Yarrowia lipolytica: one gene and its partner. The protein of the gene in region 1 purifies or fractionates together with the protein of each later gene. This does not show direct contact. Links are inferred from orthologs where the notes say so. Each region holds a gene or a part of one and is shown on either strand. Other genes may lie near its edges.

Region 1 (11,523 bases):
AGGGGTCTAATGTGTTGTGCTAAGGGGAGGAGAAGAGGCGTGAAGGTGGAGGCAAGAGAGAACCCGTTTGCTGTACTGTATCCGTTGAAGGTGAAACCCCGACGGCTCTACCGTCGACACGAGACATGATTATGTTTTCTCCATTACGGCTGAAAAAGCATTGCTTCCTTGTACACACAAAGGAACTGAATGAATCGGTTGTCTCACCAAAATGGAAGAAATCGGCATACTCGTAGCAGCCACGGACTATTGAGATTATCAGGGAGTAGAAACAACTCTTACTGGTATGAACAGACCGTAAAAGGATAACAATCAACACCAAGCATTGCTACTGTGTCGGTATCACCTTCGCTCAGTGTCTGTGCTGTACCGATTCCGTCCACAAGAACCAGAACCACAATACCTCTCTGTGCTGACAGGTACCTCTGCCGGGTGCCTCTGACGGGGGTGCCTCTTCACGCTTAGTCAATGTGCTCAGATACCGCGGCTCTGTTATTCAGCTTGTCTTAAAACATGTTCGTTAATGGAAATTCAGTACACGCTCGACAGTGCCGTCGCCCTCTCGCTGGTGATAACAGCACATCTATGATCTGGTGTGACCCTGCAATTAGACCATTCTAGGATTCTCATGTTCACACTAGTCAAGACGCCGCTCCAAAGCAGCCCTTGCCTTTTCCAGAACCCCAGCATCTCTAAAGGCTTCTATGCATACTAACCTGCGTTCTCGGGAGACTCTACATACGTTCCATTGACATGATACAACCGGGTCGGTTTACGCTAGTCTCATGGGTGCTTTGTCGGTTCGAATATGTAGGATTGAGTCCCAGCTCGATTCCACAAGTCCGTTGTGAAGCAGGATCCTGTGCTCTGGCATCTCTTGCTTTTCAACCGAGCGTCTCTTGCCTTGAAGTGTCTGCCTTGAACTACCACTATCAGTACATGTACATAACACACTTCTTCCCTCCATTGCCATTGAGATACCAAATCATACCCCATCACTTTGATGTCGCTATTCACATGTCTCGCGTACCATACAAAGATGGTCATCTAGGGTCCATGCCAAGGAGACCCCTAGCAATTGCTTATTTTTTCCTGTTCTCATTCCGCATAGTGTCGATCACTAGGCTGCACTTCGGAAGTAAGGCTAACATGTGAGATACAGGCCCATGGTCGCACATGCCCATAGTCGCACATGCCCATAGTCGGTAAAAAATGCATTCCACCAGCCCATCTTCACACCCACAAAACATTATACCTCCGGTGTCCACGTTGTTGTGGGCGTATTAAGGGGCGGTGTATAGACTCAAGTATTGTCCAAGTAAATGGAAATATTAGTAGAATGTGGTCTCAACACAGTTTTCGCGTCTTTCCGTCTTTCCGTCTTCCCAGTTCCGCAAATACGATACTTGTGAGCTATAATATATACCAAAAAGTTCATTGGTTCTATCTCTTGACTTTCTGACCTTCAATTATTTGTCCGCTTTTTTTTCCCAACTGTCCACAATTTTTTTGGTGTTATCTCACACTTCATCATCCCTTACACCCCGCCCAAAGCTTAAATCTCCAGTCCACGTTTCGCTTACATAATCTTACTCCGACATCCGCCAATAACTATCGCATCTCATCAAACGAACCCCGTCAACTCGAACCTCCCGGAATCCCGCCCAAATTTCGCCCCGGTCTTCCCCTATCGTATCACGTGACGTGATTCAGGGTCATCATCACCACCTCACATACAGTTCACAGCTCTAACGACAGACACACATGCAACATGAACTACGCTCTGATAGGCATCACGACCGCCATCTGTGGTAACATTATCATTTCGGTTGCTCTCAATCTCCAACGGTATGCGCATATTCGTCTCGAGGCCGATGTGAGTTCTCCGCATTACACCTCTTCCAAAGTGTGGTGGTGTGGGTTGGCTCTGATGACGATAGGAGAGGCAGGCAACTTTCTGGCATATGCGTTTGCACCAGCGTCGGTCGTCTCTCCACTCGGTGTGTTTGCCATTGTCGCCAATTGCCTGATTGCTCCTATCGTGTTTAAGGAGCGGGTCAAGTGGAGCAACATGATGGGGGTAGCGGTGACGGTGGTAGGCATTCTGTTTGTGGTTCTGAGTGCCACAAGTGCCCAGAGCGACACACGACCGGTGGAACCACGTGATCCGCATGCCATGATAATGGCGGCTCTTCAACAGAAGTCCTTCCTCGTCTACATTGTGTTTGTGTTTGTATCGGCAACGCTGCTGTTGCATTTCTCAAGGCAGCAGTTGCGTCAGCAGACGGCGCTCTTCGTCTACCTTGGTCTGGTGGCCCTCTTTGGCGCTCTGACTGCGCTGAGCACAAAAGCTGTGTCTTCACTGCTTTCTTTTGCATTTCTTAGGGCGCTCTACGATCCACTCACTTACGCTTGTGCGTTTGTTTTGGCTGCCACTGCTGTGTTCCAGATCAACTTTTTGAACCGAGCTCTGCAGACCTTCCCCAGCACTGTGGTGATTCCCACGCACTTCGTGCTGTTCACCTTGTCAGTCATTGTGGGCTCTGCCATGACCTATCACGACTTTGATGGCATGACTCTCGGTCAGATCACATGCTTTGTGGGGGGATGCATCATCACATTTGGAGGAGTGACTGTAATTGCGCGAACCGCTCCTGGTCGACCCAGACTGCAGCAAAACCCGAGCTATTCGAGCTTCAGCACCCGGTCACCGACACCCACAGAGTCGCTGGCGATTCCCAGCGAAGTGTCAGGTCTGTTGGAGGTACCTCCTGATCCCACTCACCAGCTGGCATCGTCTGCACCCGCGCCACATCACCATCATCATGCTCTGAGAAGAACTAGGTCGGCTCATCTAGCATTTGACCCTATCGCACTTGGTGGAATCAGTTTCTTTGTCGACAGCGCGAGAGAATGGAGGAGCCAGAGCTTGGGACGAGGAGAGAGAGAGGAGCCCTAGACTGTGGGTGTGACTCCAGGATACTATGAACGATATGGGGCGGTTGCGCGACAGATGGGTGATCACAGGATTCACCTGTGTGACAAGCCTGTGTAGGAGTTATACTAGAAATCTCTGAATGTGGTGGCTACACGGACTGCCGCTCTTTACAGTTGCAGATTGAACGCTATGAGTCCCAAGCAGCTCTCACCCTCTTTTGCTCGTTCCAACTCCGCACATCTCACGAATTCACAGCTTAGAGTGGAAAGGTCGTCTACCACTCAACATTGCATACATGGCTATCTCAGTAGCTCAATTATTTATTATTCCTTGACTGTAGGCGGTTATCAGCTTCATTGATAGTCATTGATAGTCATGATGGTGTGGACATGTCGGTTGATCCTCTATGAGTAATTATTCTTCACTGACAGCTACGGGAGAGATTACTGTTGGGATGGAGCTCACGACTCGAGGACACGAAGTCGTAATATTCTGATCCAAGCCGATATATATCAATTGTTAGGCTCTGGAACAGTGTACGATACATCTTCATGACAGCCAAGCTGCCACTTGACTCAATGACATAAGTACCGATCAGTATGTACAGCACACTTGTATGTGAGGAACCCCTCGGCTATAATGTTTAGCGAGTAGTTACAAGTAGATGAGGACTAAAATGAGCCGCGAGGGAATGATAGCCCCTTTGCCCTTTCGGTTTTCCCCATTCGTTTCAATCGTTCACTCCGTACCTGTAGTTCACTTGTTCGTTTGATCTTGCCGATTTGATATCTCTCCGCCAGTTAAAAGCCGGATAAAGATACCTCTCCGCCAGTGTCTCAGCTGTTTCATATGTCTCACAATCAGTCTCACTTTTGTTCGTTTTTCATGCCAATATATGTAAAAATGTCTCACGAGCTCTTTTGGCGAGGTCTCAAATCTGCCTCTGGCAGCGGATTTTGATGCATCTTTCGTTTCTTTTTGAACAGGTCCAATTGCGAGATTCTGTACCGCAGTTTTCTTACAGCTCACACATTTGGCCACTTGCAATGGCTCCCGTCTACGGTAGCACAACCACTGTTTGTACATTCCTCGGGGTATTTGTCTGCTTTGGTGCATGGTGTCATTGCTCTGGCAAAGTCAATCGGAAGTCCGCGATTGTGTGAAAAAACCGAAAAATACGAGGTGTTGCTGCACCCTGCCGGCAGTTAGGCAGGGACTCCGTGGTACAGGTTTTGACACGGGATAATGAAACATATTTGCAGGGGTCACATGGTCGAGGGCGGTCCGTAGCGATAGAGTGTGTTCCCGCAGACGGTGTATCAGTGTTGGCAACGAACGACATCCATCACTTTTGAATGGGTCTTTGCACTGTTGGTTTTTTTCCTGTACTCTGCTCAAGGCATGCGGTGATTGACATGAGTGCAGTTCAGGGGTGTATGTGAGTACAGTACATATGGTTCAGTATGTATGTACATACTGTTGGCGAATCTGTGGTCGATTAGAAGAAGATCTTAACCGGATATCTGATATCTGAAGCGGAATCGGTCCGTGGTTGCTTGCCGCAGCCAGAAGCAGTAAGTAGTCTAGTACTTTCACTTCATACAAAGAATATGAGGCACGGATACACATGAGGCACATGAGACGTTTCGGGTCACATCGGGGTAATGGTGGGAATCGGGTAAAAACGAGATAGTGGGGTTCGTTCGGTGAGATAGAAACGGTCAATGAGGCAAGCGTTGGAGCTTACATGTTGTCGGATATGATTAGGGCGAGCATTGCTGTTAATATGGCGTCGATAGCGTGGTGCTGGTTATTGTTTTAAATTAAAGAATTAACGGCGAATAAAATGAAAATGAACTGAAAATGAAAAGAAAAGAAAATGAAAAGAAAAGAAAAGAAAAGGAAACGAAAAGGCTCTGAAAAGGAAAGGAAAAAGCTCTGTAAATTCAGATAAATTCGATATACAGTATACAGGAAATTTGCAAAAACAAAAACAAAAACAAAAAAATAACCATCTACCATCGCCCATTCACTCTCCTCTACACACTCCATCCTTACAGTAGCTACTGTACTTGACTTGACTGTACTTGTACGGTCGTATCCACAGCATTTTAAAGTGCAAGGGTATCGTAGATCGGGTATCTCCAGTCAATGTCGGGGAGATGGCGTAACCATATACAAAAGGGGTGTGTGTGCACAGACGTTCTATACCCTCCGAACTAATAATACCTCGCTGCCTTATCCCATGCTCCCCCATACCACACCAATGCCGAGCTTTTAGCACCTCCACACACACCCTTGCACCGAACCACACCGGCAACTCCCACAAAGCCAAACATGTCCAAAGCCAAAAGTGCCAACCCAAAAGTGCCAACCGTCAGAGTGCCGCCAAAAGTGAACCACCACCCTTACTAACCCTGCACTAATCAAACGTCGTCCGTCCGACTCTCCATTCTTCTGTAAACGGCATGTCGGAGTATCTCCCGCCTCCGCCGCCGCTGTCGCCGTTTTCGGAATGGTTTGAATTCGGCGACACAGACCTGCAAATTGACAAATTGCAACTGGCACCGGACCAGAGTACCGCGACCACGCCTTCCACAGCAGGCACAACCTCCGCCTCAGCCCCCACACAACCTCCGCCACCACCGCCAGCGCCTTTTATCTCCGCCCGCGAGTCTTCCATGAACGTGGGACCCCAACATCTTCCTAGAGACATGGGCAGACCTCCCCAGCCTACACATAGTCAGTCTCAACCATCACATTCCCAGATACACACACAGATCCCTAAGCATGCTCCCCCACCCATTCCAACGTTAAAAAAGCCGCCACCGCCCATCCGGCACTACTCGAGCCCTTCGAATGGCTCCTCGGCGGCCAATGCCATCCCGGGAGCCAATCACCCGCCCCCACAAGCCCAGAGCCAGCATTCACAGGCCGCCCAGGCCGCCCAACAAGCTCATGCGGCCCTTCATGCGGCTCAGAGCGCATCGGCACCCGTCTCGGCCGTCTCACCAGTGTCAAACACTCCATTGGTCACGTCGTGGGACAAGACCAAGGTGGCCGAATGGCTGCGATCGCTTAAGTGTGCAGAGTACATCCCCATGTTTGAGCAGAACGAAATCTGTGGTGAAGTGCTGCTGGAAATCGACCAGAAGCTGCTCAAGGACATGGGTGTGGTCAAAGTGGGTGACCGGGTAAGAATCAATGTGGCCATCAAGGATTTGCGAAGCCAACATAGAAAAACCACTTTGCAGAATCAGCAACCTACCCCACACCAGCGTTCACAGCACAGAACTGGAAAAACTCTGTCATATTTGGACGAGCAATGCGTCTCCCCCTTTGCAAGCCATGGTCTTGGCATCTCGTCATCGTCAGGAACCCCAGTCACCCCAGACAGAGCATCTAGCGCTGGATCAGACTTCTCCAGCCACCTTAGACCCCAAACAGCGCGGGCTCCTTCCTCCACCACATCTACTGGCGACGTTAAGGGTATCTTGTCCATGGACCAGGTTCGACAGGGAACTGTCAAGTTCATCTACACCATGGGCCAGAGCAAGACAGTTAACATTTCAGGCTGCTTCAATGCCGAATCAATCATTCGCACGGCACTCAAGAAGTTTGCCATTAAGGATTCGCCCAACAACTGGTGTATCCATGTTTCCGATAATGCATTCGCCACATCCACCCGGATTGTGTCTGACAATGAGCTGGTGACCATCTGCCACTCTCCTTCACGTGCTGAGCGTCGTCGACTCATGCTGTGTCTCAACGACATGCCTCCCACTCAAAAGCAGTTTGCCAAGTCTCAATCTGTGTTGCTGGAGTCTGTGGACACAAACACAAACTCGTCTTCGTCTTCCGGCAACTACTCGGCCAACCAGCCTACCATTTCGCAACTCTCGGGCGACTACTTTTCGTCCGACCCCCAAAAAATGGCCCCGCTGCCCCGATCCAATCTTCCCCACAATTCTCGACGACTTCAGAGATTCGGTCATCGACCTCCTTCGGAGCTCATTTCTTCCAACCTGGCAGAATATTTTCCTCAGGCAGGCTCCAAGGTGTTGGAGCAGACGATCCGAAACTCGATTCGGTTTTCCAACCGAATGTCCCGCATGAGTACCAGTACTGCGTCCAACTACAACTACAACCGAATGAGTATTGCGACCATCTCGTCGTTCATGAACAACGAGGGCGGGATTGGCTCGGAAAACGACTCGGACAATATCCCTGCTGTTCCGGAGATTCCTTCGGATCTCTCGATGCCCCAAACTCTTACTCGAGAGTCCATGCAGCCCAGCCGAACACAGTCTTCGTCCCAGGTTGAGCGTGGAAGCTCTCTGCGAAAGAGTACAGCATCCATTCCTGCTACTCTCGAGACTCTGAGCCAGCAAGAAGAGGCTGCATCAGCAGCAGCTTCAGCAACAGCTTCTCTCGTGGACCCTCCCCACAGCGCTACCCCTTCCGAGGATGACATGTCAGATGAGCAGATCATTGCAATGCAGTCTGAGGCTCCCAAGAACTGGATCAAGGGTACGTTGATTGGCCAGGGCTCGTTTGGATGTGTTCATCTTGGCATGAACAGTCTTACTGGAGAGCTTATGGCCGTCAAGCAGGTTTCTCTGGGCGACTTTTCCAAAACATCGCATAAGCAGGCCATGGTTGACGCTCTTCAGCGTGAGATGAATTTGCTACGGGATTTCCAGCATGACAACATTGTGCAGTATCTTGGTTCGTCTTCTGACGAGGAGTATCTCAACATTTTCCTCGAGTACGTTCCTGGTGGTTCCGTGTCTTCTATGCTGACCAAATATGGACAGTTTGAGGAACCTCTTGTCAAACATTTTGTGCGCCAGATTCTTAAGGGTCTCGATTACTTGCATTCTAGAAACATCATCCATCGAGACATCAAGGGCGCCAATGTGCTGGTGGACAACAAGGGAAATGTGAAGATTTCCGATTTCGGCATTTCTAAGAAGATCGAGGCTTCATCGTCCAACCGGCAGTCTCTTCAGGGCTCTGTTTACTGGATGGCCCCCGAGGTTGTCAAGCAGACGAGTTACACTCTCAAGGCCGACATTTGGAGTTTAGGGTGTCTGATTGTGGAAATGTTGACCGGCTCGCATCCGTTTCCTCAATTCAGTCAGATGCAGGCCATTTTCAAGATTGGTACCAGTGGTAGACCCGACATTCCTGAAAACTGTTCTGAGGACACTAAGGACATGCTTCGGCAGACCTTTGAGCAGGATTACAACAAGCGTCCGTCGGCCGCGGAGTTGCTGGCCCACGAGTTTTTGAATACGTGATGCTTGTATGATGGTATTTAATGAATGAAGCTAGCCATTGAGGAGACTTGATGGTTCTATTTAATAATGATCCAAGATCGCAACCCCCATATTAACCTTATTTCATATAAAGTTGCGTCTCGGTTAGGCGTGCGTGATTGAAATTAATTAATTTCGGATAAACTCAGGTAAAATCGTGTAAATGAGTTTCCATTACGAATACAAGATGATAACGGATCGGCTCGGATACATAACTGTCCATTGACGTTACATACTATCAGTGGAAGTCTACAATTTGTTGGATAGTAATAGTCATGAAATATATTAAGGGGGTCATATGCTGTTGAATGCAAATAAATAAGTTGAATTAGTGTTTTAGGCAGAGTGGATAGAAACAGCCTGGCTCTTGATTGCGGCCTTCTCGTCATGAGGTTTCACCTCGATAATCGTCTCAGGCACATGTTCCAGACCTTCACCTGTAGACGAGTTGTAGAGCACAATACCGTTCTCCTTGGCATGCTGTCGTTCGTCTCGCTTGTAGAAGTAGAGAACGACCATGGTCCAGATCATAAGACAGAAGGCAGAGCAAGCAGTAAAAGTGAAACCCTTGAGGTATCGAGGAGCCTCCGAGGTTTTCCATACGAGCACGGAAATCCAAGCAGTGGAGGTCTGGGCCATCATGTTCATGATCATGAGAATGATGGCTCTGACCTGGGGGTCGTGACGACAGATATCGTTGAGCCAGGAGTACATGGTGGCTGCCATGGCCCATCCAAAGTACTGGAGCATCCAGGCAAACCACTTGGCTCCCTCGGGAACGTCCCAGACGGCGAGAATCGTGTTACCAGTGAAGTTGAATAGCTGGGTGAAGACAATGGCTCCCCATCGAGATCCGAAAAGATCAGCAATGCCGACAGTGAGTACAATCCAGACCATACCAAGACCGGGGGTAATGGCTCCCAGATCGTTGACCTTGGAGTTTGTGTATCGCTGCTCGCCCTCGGAGTTTTTGAGAGACTTGAGCCACAGAAGGTAGGCTCCAGAGGTACCGTTGTTGTTGTTCCAGCAGAAGATGCCCTCGAGACAGAGCACGTAGATTTGCCAGGAGGAAAAGATCTTTTTCCACATGCCTCGATCACCAAAGGAGTACTTTGGCTTGGGGGGTTCGCCGGAGGTTCGCTCCTTGTGGTCCTTGAGACGTTCTCGGGCAAGCACGACTTCCTCCTTGGACAGGAAGATGGAGTAGCACTTCTCGGGGGTTCCAGGAATCATCCACAGACCGATGATACCAATGGGCATGGTGATGATTCCGTCAATGATAAACAGCCATCTCCATCCCTCAAGCCCGTTAACGCCGTCGAGATGCTTGACGGCTCCAGCGGCGATGACAGAAGAGGTGAGCACTCCGAAGAACTGAGCGAGGTACATGAAACCAGCTCGTCGGTTGATTTCCTTGGGCTTGAACCACGATCCGAGCAGGTAATGCAAAGCAGGATAAAGAGAGGCCTCGAAGGCTCCAACAAGAAATCGCATGGCCTGAATGCCTCCGACATTGTTCATCTTGTACTGACACAGAGTCATGATACCCCAGCAGAAGTCGAGGAGAGGGAGAACAATATGGAGAGGGACCTTGGGGAGCAGAAACATGAAGGGGAGCTGGAACACGATGGCTCCGACGGAGAAAATGGCCTGAGTGTTGACCAGGTCATTGCCTTTGAAATGGACATCGTCAGAGAGACCGGCAACGTAGGCGTTGTTCAGGTTAGTCTGGTCGAGGAACTTGACCCAGTAGATGAGAAAGGCGTAGCAGGAGAGCAGAATGTCGAGTTTCCAGATGAGTTTTCGCTCGGCAGGAGTATCGTTTTCGTCGAACCACTTGAACCACTTTTGGCCAGATCGGTCCTGCTTATTAAGACGGTACTCGTACTCATCAAAGAACTTCCACCAGGGTCGGCCCGCCTCGTCTCGGTACTCGAGCTCTTTTTCCTCGGTCACGCCCAGAGCCACAGACACAATGTCCGAGTCCTCGGCGGTGATTTTCTCAGAGCTGCTGTGTTCATCAGTGTCCGATACCGCAGCGGTTACCACCGGAGGAGCGTATTTGGGGTGGCTCTGGTAGACGTTGTTGTAGTCCGTTTCCGACGGAGTATTGAGATGGGGAAGGAACTTCCAGACCATGATTTTCGCTTGTGTGAGACCGATGAGATACTTTGGACCACTTTAGCAGCTCCATTCATATATATATATATACATATCTTTTTTTGTACATCTGACCCGGAATCTTCGTACCCAGGTATGAGCACGGTTCACGTGACGGTGCAAGAGCGTCTAAAGTTGTTGGAGTGCTGCTGATAGGCATCCAGCCGGGTGTGGCTTGTTCACAGGGACCTGAGGAAAAAGAAAAAGAAAAAACGGGAGTGCCAAGCGAGGAGATTGAGATGTTGCTGTGCAGAAAAAATGAGTCCATTTCACGTGAGTTGGCATCAGCCGTGCGGAGACCATCTGGAATGATTGCAGGATATCTCAACAATATCACGGCTCAACATAGACCCAGCTGGTGCCACTGTATCACGGACCCATGCCTGATTCATACGAAGCACATTAACTCTTGGCCTGTCCTCTTTCGAGCCTTGGTTTCTCTTTAGAGCCGTCCAAGCTTTTCTTTAGATCTGCCTTAATTTAGCGCCTTTTTTTTTTTTTTATTCCTTCTTCTTCTTCTGCCATGAAAGTCAAATGTTCTACTGTATATGGCGCATTAACGGAGACTGCGTCCCACCGAACTCACTGTGAACTGGCGTGGCCGGCACATACCCCGGAACTGCCTGCTTCTTGTTTCTCTGCACGCTGTGATGGACTCGGAGCGCTGTACATAGGAGACCTACTTTACGATACTCTACCCCTCTTCATAATGTCGACTCCTACTTACATCACAATGCTTGACACAGCCAACCACCATCTTCCAGGGCCACCGGAACAACCTCTCGAAAACCTTGCCAAAGGTTTGCTATATTCGTTATGGCGGTAAATTTCGCTAAACTCTTCCACCTGGGCTACAGTACATACATGGGGGGTGCGGCCCTAAGGGTGTTCACTGCACGGATTGCTGCAGTATGGGGAATGCATCCTACAGGCACTAATCAGCTAAGTTTGACTCTGATCGCGTAATATGATACCCAGGACCATTTTTTGTTAGTTTGTTCCATAACTACCAATGTTCATGCCATCGTTCATTCATTTATCTAAATTAGTGGCAGAAACAGAGACATGATCGGACCTTGTTATCTTTGCGGCGCCTATCTCTGT
Region 2 (10,287 bases), on another chromosome or scaffold:
GTCTGAGGAGCAGGCGCAGCAGGCGGTTCTTTCTGACGCACCTTTTGAGACAGCTCTTGTCGAGGCATAGACATGACCGACTCGGCGTACTTGGGCTGCTCAGACAGGGCCGGGTTGTAGCTGCTGTCCATGGGCGGATCGTCTCGAGGTCCAAACAGCGCAGTCTTGTCCTCCTCGAGCTCCCGGTCAACGTTGCCAAACCGCGATCCGTAGCCCTGGTTGGCAGATGCGTAGGGGTTGACGGCACCTGGCATGGGGGGCGGGGGCAGCTCGGGCTCCTCGGGCAGTCCCACGTCATAAACGGGCTCGTAGTCGTCTCGTTCTGCGTCGTTGTAGTCTGTGGGAGCCACGTATTGGCGCGGTCGAAGTCGTGGGTCTTCCAGGGGTGGAGGTGCCTCTTCCTTTTTGCTTCGTCCAAACCGCTTGAACTTGGACGACTTGGCTGGGGATTCTTTTGGTGGTGCTCCATTCTGAGGCATGCTGTAGGGACTGTTTTTGTGGCGGGCGGGGGAGCGGCGGTTGTTGCCACCGTTTTTTCATTTTGTAGGGGGCTGCCGTTGCTACACCGCCGTTGCTGTTGCTACCGCCGTTGCTGTTGCTACCGCCGTTGCCGCCACCTCCATTGCTGTATGGATCACTGCCTCCGTATGGTGATCCGGACGCTCCACCTGCGGCGGCGGCGGCGTAGGGGTTTCCTCCGCTGGGCTGTTGGTTCTGGACGGCGTAGGGGTTGCTTCGGGCCGCCGGAGGAGCCGCAGACGACTTCTGGGTCACCTGGGCGGCGTAGTTTTTGTATGCATCGAACTTGTTTCGGTTGTAGCCGTTGACGTCGGTCTTGACCAACAGACCCGCGTCTTGCATCGACTCCCGGATCTCCGACTCGGTCGGATCCTTCTTTTTGAACATCTTTTTGAACCCCATCGTTGCTGTGGTTTTTCCGTGACTGTGTGTTGGTGCTGGTGCTGGTGATGAAAACGATTAGCTGATGAAGTGTCTATTTCCAGTGCATCCCAACGGCATTCGAACTGTATTTTCGCATCGAGGCTGTGCCCTCGTAAAAGTAGTCCGAGGAAAGAACAGCCAACAACCGAGACGGTAGACAAGCCCGTGGCGGCGGGGGACGGGGCTGTGTGGACTAGTGGGTCATGTGCTCGCTCCCCTTTGATTTGTTTTTAATTGCTTTCCTTTTTTTCCCCATTTTTCCCGCGCTATACATCCTCCGTTTCCCCTTGGCTTACCCCCCTTTTTTTTTTCCTCAGAAAAATAGCCCCGAGAGGGGACGGTGATCTGCCCAAGGGGTGATAAGCGTTATTTCGAGTCCAGTAGAGTGACAGCTTGTGACCAACTCTAAGAGAAACGAGACAAGATCGAAAGAGAGGGTTGGTAGGAGCTGCCAGTACCTTCTACGTAGGAAAATGTACCTTCTACTTGTGGCTGCTACTGTACTTGTAGCTCCAGTGCTAACTGGACTGTAGTTGAGTTGCTCGTACTCGCGTCAGAAAGCAGATCGCCACTGCAGGGGTATTGTAAAGAGAGTAGCCACTCTTATGCGGTGAAGAACATATCTGGGGTTTCGAGTGTCGGAGTAAGATGGGAGTTGTGAAGATATATATGTTATACCGGAGTCTTTCCTACCCTCGCTCGTGAAGTCTTGCTATTTATATAGAGTTATTTATAGAGTTAGTTGAGGTGGAGTGGGTCAAGTAATGTCAAGTAATGTCAAGTAATTGTTAAGTAATGTCAATTAATGATCTACAGTAGTAAGGGTAAGTATGACCGAGTAATAGTGAGGAGTATCCAACTACGTCAAATGAGAACATAAAACAGTACAATACAATAGCCACATATAATACAAGCTTGGGTAGCTAGAGGTACTATATGTACTCGTATGTAGTTTTGCCACATTCGAGAGAGTTTACTTTATCAGGTTTTTTGGTGAAATTATATATAATATATATATTCTTTCAAAGCCAAAGTTATAAATAAATGAATGTATGCCGAAAAAATATATATACACATATATTAAAAATGTGTGAATGTAAAAGATAGAAAACGAAAAATCTGGACCAACAATACAATAATAACACCAAAACAGCAATAAAGAGCCTCTACACTCTCTATACCCCCTTTACGACACCCTATACGCTCATGATCGTGTTGGTAACTCCAAACAACCAGAAGTCCCGAGATAAGATATTCTGTTGGCTGAGCTCAATCGCCCCACAAAACAGAAGATACTGGATACACCCAGACCTGTCAAAGGTCTGAAGATGCTAATACAGACAACGACAAGGATAGCTTTACCTTGGATCCATAAATATATATACATATATACATAGGATCGACGCTCGCTGTGTCCGACAAACCTCGGATCACCAAACAAGGTTGAGATAAGAAATCGGTGCATTATCGAAACTCTTTCTAAAATACCGAAAATCGCCAGATGATCAACACCTTTCATCTCATCATTATTATAACTTATAAAACTGCTTCAACATGCAAACCCACATAAGACTGTGTCTTCAGGGTCTTCCTTTCATGGAAGGAAGACACTGGAGTAAGACTCAACATCCCGCCGACAACACACACATCCCTTGAAGTTCTTCCACTGCAACTCATGGCGACAAATTCCACACAGAGCAAAACATCGGCAAGGCCACACAATGACGGACCGTTCTTCGTACTGACAAACAACACAGTACCGTCGTTCGTCCTTGCGCTCCATGCCTTCATATCGTTGTCGCGCCTCCATAATCACCTGGGCGAGTTTTGTTCCCTCGTCTTCAGCCAACAGACCAAACTTGGACCGTGTCAGCCGATGTTGGTTCATGTGGGCAGTCAGAATCTTGGACTCCTTCGCATTAGGCTGGGAGATGATGGATGTTAGTTCCGAGGGGTCGTACAATGTCTGGAGTTCTGACTGGCGACGTTTTCGAAGTCGGCTCTTGTGCTGTCGACTAGTATTGGTAGTCTCTTCAGTTTCTGTTCCAGAAGACGATTCAGAAAGAATGGCCTGTTCTGCAATGGTCTCTGAGACCATCATCTGCTCTTCCAAAACGTCGTCGCTATGCATTCCCTCGTCGTCGTACACCTCGTCACCCCACTCCTCGTCTTCCTCACTTCCATAATCCGAGTGCAACTCGTACGCCATATCATCCTCGTCGTAGACAGGTTCGGTATACACGTAGTCCTCCTCTTCTGATTCATCAGCAAACGACGCCGACAGAATCGTTATCGTTTCGCCGTCGGAAGTGTGGAAGCTTTGAGTATGCGGCTGCTGAGCCTTGGACTGGAAAATAGACCGGAGCATGCCTCTCAGAGTAAAAAAGACCATGAGGGAATAGATGCGCAGAAACTCAACGTAAACACGAACGCGGTCCATGAGCTGGTTGGCAATACCCACATTGTACTGGTCTATCAACTGCTTGACCCCATCAGGGGGCATAAAGACTTGGTTGCCGTACCCCGGCGAGCTTCCCAGTTCTCGAGTTCTGTTCGGATCACGGAAGAACCGAAGCTGCTGGTCAATCCAGGTCTCGGAAGGCGTCTCCAGGTATCCGGCGTTAATGTATCTGTTTTTTGACGCAGACTTGGTAACGTTGTTGCTGACAACCTCGAACCAGGTGTAGAAGTCCTGCGAGAGGGACACACGTTCAAACAGAATGGAGGGCACCCTTTTGCCTGTCATGAGCATAGTGGCCACCTCCATGACGACTGTGCTGAAGATGACGTAGGTGTAGATGACCTGGGGCATGAAACCCAACACCAGAATCAGCGGGAAGTTGAGCAGTCTTCCCTTCATGGCCTGAACCTGGAAGAAGGCTAGGAACGACAGACCCACCAGAGCCGAGGGGATAAGCCTGTATCTGTTGAGTTTGAAGATGGCCAGCAGGTGAATAAATACGTGGCTCACGAGCCCCATCAAGCATATGACGATAATCTCGGGAACCGGCTCCTTGAGCTGGGCCGCTTCGTGGAACGACAGAGAGTACTCTATCAGAGACATGTTGGACTCTGAGTACGGCACCTGGCCCTGGATGAGCGACACGAACGTCTCGACGAGCTGGGAGATGCAGATGCACCTGAACATACCTGGGTAGGCGTCGGTCAGGGTGTCTTTTGTGAGCGAAGATGCCGGCAGCAGGTAGCGCGCCAGAGCGCCGATCCAGCTGGGACCCCAGGTTGCAGAGGCCTTAAACAGTCGCCACAGGTGCGGCAGAGACAGCATGATGGGGATACTTCGTGCCATGGTCTGGCTGGCAGCCGGCAGCACCGTGGCTCTTCGGCGCTGTGCAAACTCCCACATTCGGTTCATGATGACGGCCATGATGACCGACGTTGACGCGTACGAGCTAACAATGTAGACCACGTGGATGGTGAACTTGGACTCGGGCTTGAGCCAGAACTCGAGGTTTTGCTGCAGAGTGTCGGCAAACGGAGGGGCAGACTGAATCGTGGCCGTGGCTGTCTGGGCCGTGATAGACGAGAGTGTGGGGGTGATCTGGGCGGAGTCTGAGACCAGCGTTTCGGTCGCCGCCACCCCGAGGTCGCCCCCCACCCACTGCACAAATTCCAGAATGTCCATATAGACCAGAGTCGTTGGTGTGGGGATGGTCTGTTGGAGTCAGTCGCACACAGCTCTACTGCTAGTCGGAAATTCAATTAATTAACTCGGAAGGTGGGAGGATATGTTGGGGTGCTTTATCGGTTGCTTTATCGGGGAGAGAGAAACGCGATTAGACCACCCCTCTGGGTGGGTTTATATTTCGAAAAAATATCCAAAATTCGCGGAAACGACTCTTCTATATTACTGGATATTTTTCTCTATTTTAAGTATTTTTCAACCCCCCCAAACACCCCCCTACTGTTCACCCACCCACCCCCGCCGCTCGGCTTATCTCCCTAACTTGCTAACCCTATTTGCCCATAGTGAGCAGGTCTCTACTGGTATGCCAACTACGGACCAACTAGGGACTTTTCAGACTTGTCAGACATGTGATAGTTGCGCTATGGTGGATTATAAACGACAAAAAACAAGACCTTCTCACATGATGACCGCCCATCAACATCCACAAACTCACGGCTGACTTCCATCAACTCTCTTGGAATCAAACTCTCCCTCATCACCTCCCCCAGTCGCCCTTCTCCAGATACCACCATGCCCGCAAGTGGAGAATTCACCTGGCAACTCACAGGAAACGTGGCCATCAACACGCTCTTCTCGGCCGCTTTCCCCGTCTTCACAGCCATCTACGCCATCCGCGGACTCAAGCAGGGCGCCATTGAGACCGCGAGCAAGTCCGAAGCCCGTCTGGCCAAAAAACTCGACATTGACGCAGAAACTCTGTACGAAAACTACTCACCGCTCATTCTCATCGGATACCCAATCTTTGCCGTCAATCTGCAGCCGCTGGGAACTCTGGCTCTTCTCTGGAGCCGAACCACCGGCCTCATTGACCATCTCTCTGATCAGCAGCTGGAAAATGCGCTCAGCACATGGTCCAAGTTCTCACAAGTCTACACCTGGGCAACTGGAGGCATATGCGTGGCAGCCCTGGGAATCTGGTCTCGACGACGTCAGCAGCGACGTAGCAAGCAGGTGACCAAGAAGATGCCTCTTTTGGGCGCTCCCGAGATTTCTCTGCTGCTCTTCTCGGCTATTTTCCTGCCCGTTGTTAGTCAGCCCATTGAGGTGTTCCCTTGATTACTATAGAGCGATGATAACATTGCTGTCCAAAATGTTGATGTTATTTATATGATATGAATACTGGAGACGAGACTGGCTGCCTACGTACAGTACATACTCGTCAACTATTAGGCCAAGTAACAATAACGTTCAAGTAGAGTGTTCTGGAAGAACCTGGAAAGGGGGTGGTATTGGGCGCAATTGATAAGAAAGGAGCGGTTTTTTCGTTTGAAATCGCATCTTCCAGTCTCAATTATCCGTCTCACGTGCTCATTTATCCAGTTATCTTTCTCGTACCCCTTTTTCTATGCATCTACCTCAAACCTCTCCACGTGACACTGCCCTACAGCAAACCATATATATATACTGTATACTTGATCCCCATCTCAACATCAGACACAAACAAGAATGGTGCTGGATTACTCGAAATGGGACAAGATTGAACTGTCGGACGACTCGGACGTGGAGGTGCATCCCAACGTGGACAAGAAATCGTTCATCCGATGGAAGCAACGAGACATCCATGAGAAGAGAGATCGAAATAAGATGGAGATTGCGTCGCTGGAGCTCACCATGAAGATCGATGTGGAGCTGGTGGAGCGTCTGGACAAGCTGCTTAGTCTGCCTCAGGCGCAGCTGGCCAAAGACTCCATTGAGGAGCTGCTGGTCAAGTCCAAAGAGGGTCTCAAGGCCAAAGATACCCCCACCGCGCCCAATCCCCAGAAAGAAGGGGAGCAGATGAACTGTGACGACATGCTGGAGAGTCTTCTGGACATGATCAAACCCGACGTGGATACCGACAACGGCGCCACCTTCTACGACAAGCTGAAGGAACATAGAGACAAGCTGGTGGACCACGACAAGAGCCACCGAGAGCGCCTAGCCGAGCTCTACGACGAAAAGGCAAAGTACATCACCTCCGAGGACGTGCACGATGTCTACAACTCTACAGTTTTGAACAAGACTGCAGAGCCCGATGCTGGAGAAGACGATCTGGCCGATCTGGAACGGCCCAAGAAGACCGAGACCACCATGGAGACTCTCAACAGTCCTGGACAGTCGACTTCTTCTGACGCTCCTGTTGAGAGCACGCTGGCCAAGGCTTCTGACGACACAGATGATGACTATTCTGATCCGTCTCCTGCTGCCCGCAAGTTTGCCGAGATTCCCGCTGATGATCTCAAGGAGTGCTACCGGTTTGTTTCGAAACACCCCGAGATTTGCACCGAGAAGGAGAAGGATGCGCTGGTTATGGAGGGGTTCCAACTGCAACTTGCCGGCAAGACTGCCGACATGGAGAGAACGGTTCACAATGCCATTTTATTGCAGTACTGTGCGCAGCTGGGCCCCAACGGCTACAGAAACTTCTTTGAGCGGATCCTGCAACCTCAGGGCCACCCCGCTCTCGAGGTGCTCAAGAAAGACGTGGCGTTCACCATCAACCATGTCAAGACGCGGTGCGAGATTCTCAAGAAGGAGAGCGAGGAGGAAAATGAGCAGATCCAGCTGCATGCCGTCGACCCCAACACGGAGATTGTGGTGAACCAGCCGCCCCAGGATGACGCGGACGCCATGAAGGTTTTTGGCGAGCTGTCGCCTGAGATGCAGAAGGCGGTCGAGTCCGGCAAGCTGGAGGAAATCAACAAGGTTCTGGCCAACTACTCGGTGGAAGATGCCGAGAAGGTGCTGCGAATGTTCGATGAATGCGGCATTCTCGCCGTGGAGGAAAAGATCTACGATGCAACCGAGTGGCAGAAGCAGAACAAGGACAAGGAGGTCCGGGATAACGTGGACCAGATTGTGCACAAGGAGGAGTGACCAGAGTCAAACTACAGTATGTACAAGCGCGGTACTTGTATGTACACGAGCACATAGGAATAAGATAGTCATACAGGAAAAAAGCAATTGTGAAACAAGCAATACCAGCTGTGCAGACGATACTGTGCGGGTGAAACATGTCTGCACGGTTTAATACTGTCTTAGTGCTTGTCCATGATGCAGGTTGGACAAGCCGATCGGCATAACTTGTAACAATGAAACGTATATGAGACTGCACCTTCCATGGGGGAACTGCACAGCGCACAAGACAACGTTTGAGACAGTAATGCAGCCTTCTCTCGATTGTTCCAGCTGCAATTTCCAAGTCCATTATCACGCCAGCAGGTACTTGTACAAGGGCGGGCTAGTTGATAGAATGAAGTCATGGACCAAGTCAAGCAACCTTTTGAACTTGTCGGATCAACTGGACCTTGCTATCACGTCGACAAATGTCTCTGAAAAGCTCCACAATGGGACCTTCAACACCCCTGACTGAGAATGTACCACACCAGCTGTACTTCAGCCTAATTCTTAGCTCTATGGCGCATAGTCAAGCTGAGACATCGAGTCCAAGACGCATTAACACAAGGTGGGCGCTATCTCTTCAATGTATGTACGAGGACATGAGCATATATCGCATTGTCATACCCAAAGGAGAATATCTCGGCGGTTTAGGTACTACTCTAAACGACGGGAATACGTCCAGAGTACGCCCAGAACACGTGGGGAATCCTTCCGGACGACTCAGGGACGTGCGTTCGCTTGCATTGTGCTCCTAAATGCCTCAGGGACATGCGTTGGGTGGGATTGTGATTGTTTTGTCACAGCTCACTATGTCTCTCCGGTTCATAAGCAATAACTTATCTATTCTCTATCTGTAGTTACTCCCTGTGGACGGCCTTCTTGTATTCGTCCTTGTCCTTCTCGTCGGCGTGGACCATTCGAGGCAGTTCGTAGCCCTCGGTGGTTCGGCCGTAAGAAATGCCTCCGAGTCGAGACACGGCCTTGATCTTGGTCACGTCGAGAAAGTTGAGATCCTCGTTGATCACGTCCTCGCGGGCGTGGAACTGGACCGCCTGCACCAGAACCGTGGTGTTGGTATGCTTGTTGGGATCAGCGACCGAGTACAGATCGTAATGATGCAGAAGCTTCACCTCCACGGAGAAACACGACTCGGCCACGTGAGCAGGCTTGACAATTTCAGACTCCACGGGGGTGAGACCGCTCACCAGCCACTCATCCACGTCGGAGGGCGCGGCAATGGCACACGAGTTGGCCGCTTCAACGAACCACTCACTGATGATGTTGATGGTGGCCTCCTTGGTGTCGAGCAGGTTTTGGCAGCTGTCTTTGTGGCCGTTGGGGGTTCGGGTCATGCCAATGGCGAACACGGGCGGGTCTGACGACACCATGTTGAAGAAGGAGAAGGGCGCTAGGTTCCGCACTCCGTCCTTGCTCACTGTGGACAGAAACGCAATGGGCCGGGGGGTCACGGCGCCAATCAGCAGCTTGTAATTGAACATGGGCGGCCGGCCCTCGGCCGTGGGACTGAAGCTCACCTTTTTGTGTTTCTTCCACCCGTCATCCTGCGAGTTGGCTCCATCTCCAAACTGCCACTCCGTGTTGGGCGTGTTTGTGAAGGTGAATCCCGGTCGATCTACGAATGCCGGTCGCTCCTTCTCGAGCTCCTTGAGGCTAGGGTGTCGTGACATGGAAGCGGAAAGTGTGGAAAAGAGTCGAGAAACGATTTGGTGGCGATAAACGATTTGGTGGCGATAAACGATTCGGTGGCCTGGTCGTATAGTCAGTCGAGACATTAGCCTGCTCATCACCAGAGCCTATTATAAACATTTTGGCCGCACAATTAAACTCTGCTTCCCCACCGGTTATCGACAACCGCGTATGGGGGAAAAAATTAAATTAAAATTAAATTAAATTAAATTAAATTAAATTGAATTGAATTGAATTGAATTTAAGAATTGAATTGAATTGGAATTGAATTGAATAAAAATAAAATAAAACAAAAACAAAAGGAGAAAAATGAGGAAAATGCGAGAAAAATAAATAAATAAAAGGATCCCTCATCTCAGGATGGTGATGAGGACTCAGTGGGAACCGTCGCGGTCGTCGGTCATTCAGATTAGTCATCGAGTGGAAATGCAAATGGGAGTCACGTGACTCTCTCCGAACCAACACTGAGTCCATCATTAATTTCTTGCAAGCCTTGTACTCGCACAATACCAGTACATACTACGGTATTAGTACGATGAGCAGAGGCCGGCGGTTGTTGGCTGTTGACTGAGATGTCGAATGACATGTCGGATAACAACTTGTGGCCCCCTGAGTTGGTCATCCAGACTGACTGTCATGTTATGGGTCACGCTGATCTTCTGTTATTCTGGAACAGATATCGACACAATTCGAATCGATCAGACGAGGACTGGCCTGGAGCGGCGAAAAACAGGTCGTATATCAGGAGAGACGCGGAACTGGACATGGGAGAGCGTTGTGAGGCTGATCAGAGGGTACTGGCTGCGACTTGCGCTGGCTGAGTGGTTTGGAATCTCTGGACGCACCTACAACCAATCTTGACAGCCACAAGCCAGAGTAGCTGCAAGTTCTTCTGACTGTGCTTCAGGACTCGTGAGAAGCCATCGCAGGGAGTGTGGGCTGTGAAGCACATCGGCGTATATCCAAGTATGCGACCGACGCATCTAACCAACTGGAGATACCTTCAGGTATAGGTCAATTTTGAAGAAACGGGATTTCCAAAAGTTGGAGCC

Evidence for each region. The genes of interacting proteins can lie anywhere in the genome.
Region 2: the proteins of YALI1_F18202g (region 1) and YALI1_E22126g purify together in Saccharomyces cerevisiae (affinity purification with western blotting, with the first as the bait; 3 studies listed by BioGRID). This does not show direct contact. The link is inferred for Yarrowia lipolytica from reciprocal best matches to the Saccharomyces cerevisiae genes STE11 and CDC37.

What each region holds. Positions count from the first base shown.
Region 1 is NC_090775.1:1,814,154-1,825,676, reverse strand, and holds YALI1_F18202g (uncharacterized protein), read left to right. Parts: upstream 1-5,406; coding exon 5,407-8,241; downstream 8,242-11,523. Other genes in the region: YALI1_F18239g (uncharacterized protein), read left to right, coding at 1,772-2,959; YALI1_F18226g (uncharacterized protein), read left to right, coding at 2,985-3,017, 3,068-3,298; YALI1_F18152g (uncharacterized protein), read right to left, coding at 8,596-10,398; YALI1_F18122g (uncharacterized protein), read right to left, coding at 11,514-11,523. UniProt on the Saccharomyces cerevisiae protein: Serine/threonine protein kinase required for cell-type-specific transcription and signal transduction in yeast. It is thought that it phosphorylates the STE7 protein kinase which itself, phosphorylates the FUS3 and or KSS1 kinases.
Region 2 is NC_090774.1:2,206,542-2,216,828, forward strand, and holds YALI1_E22126g (uncharacterized protein), read left to right. Parts: upstream 1-6,094; coding exon 6,095-7,504; downstream 7,505-10,287. Other genes in the region: YALI1_E22070g (uncharacterized protein), read right to left, coding at 1-479; YALI1_E22111g (uncharacterized protein), read right to left, coding at 2,537-4,585; YALI1_E22117g (uncharacterized protein), read left to right, coding at 5,159-5,704; YALI1_E22159g (uncharacterized protein), read right to left, coding at 8,386-9,333. UniProt on the Saccharomyces cerevisiae protein: Co-chaperone that binds to numerous kinases and promotes their interaction with the Hsp90 complex, resulting in stabilization and promotion of their activity.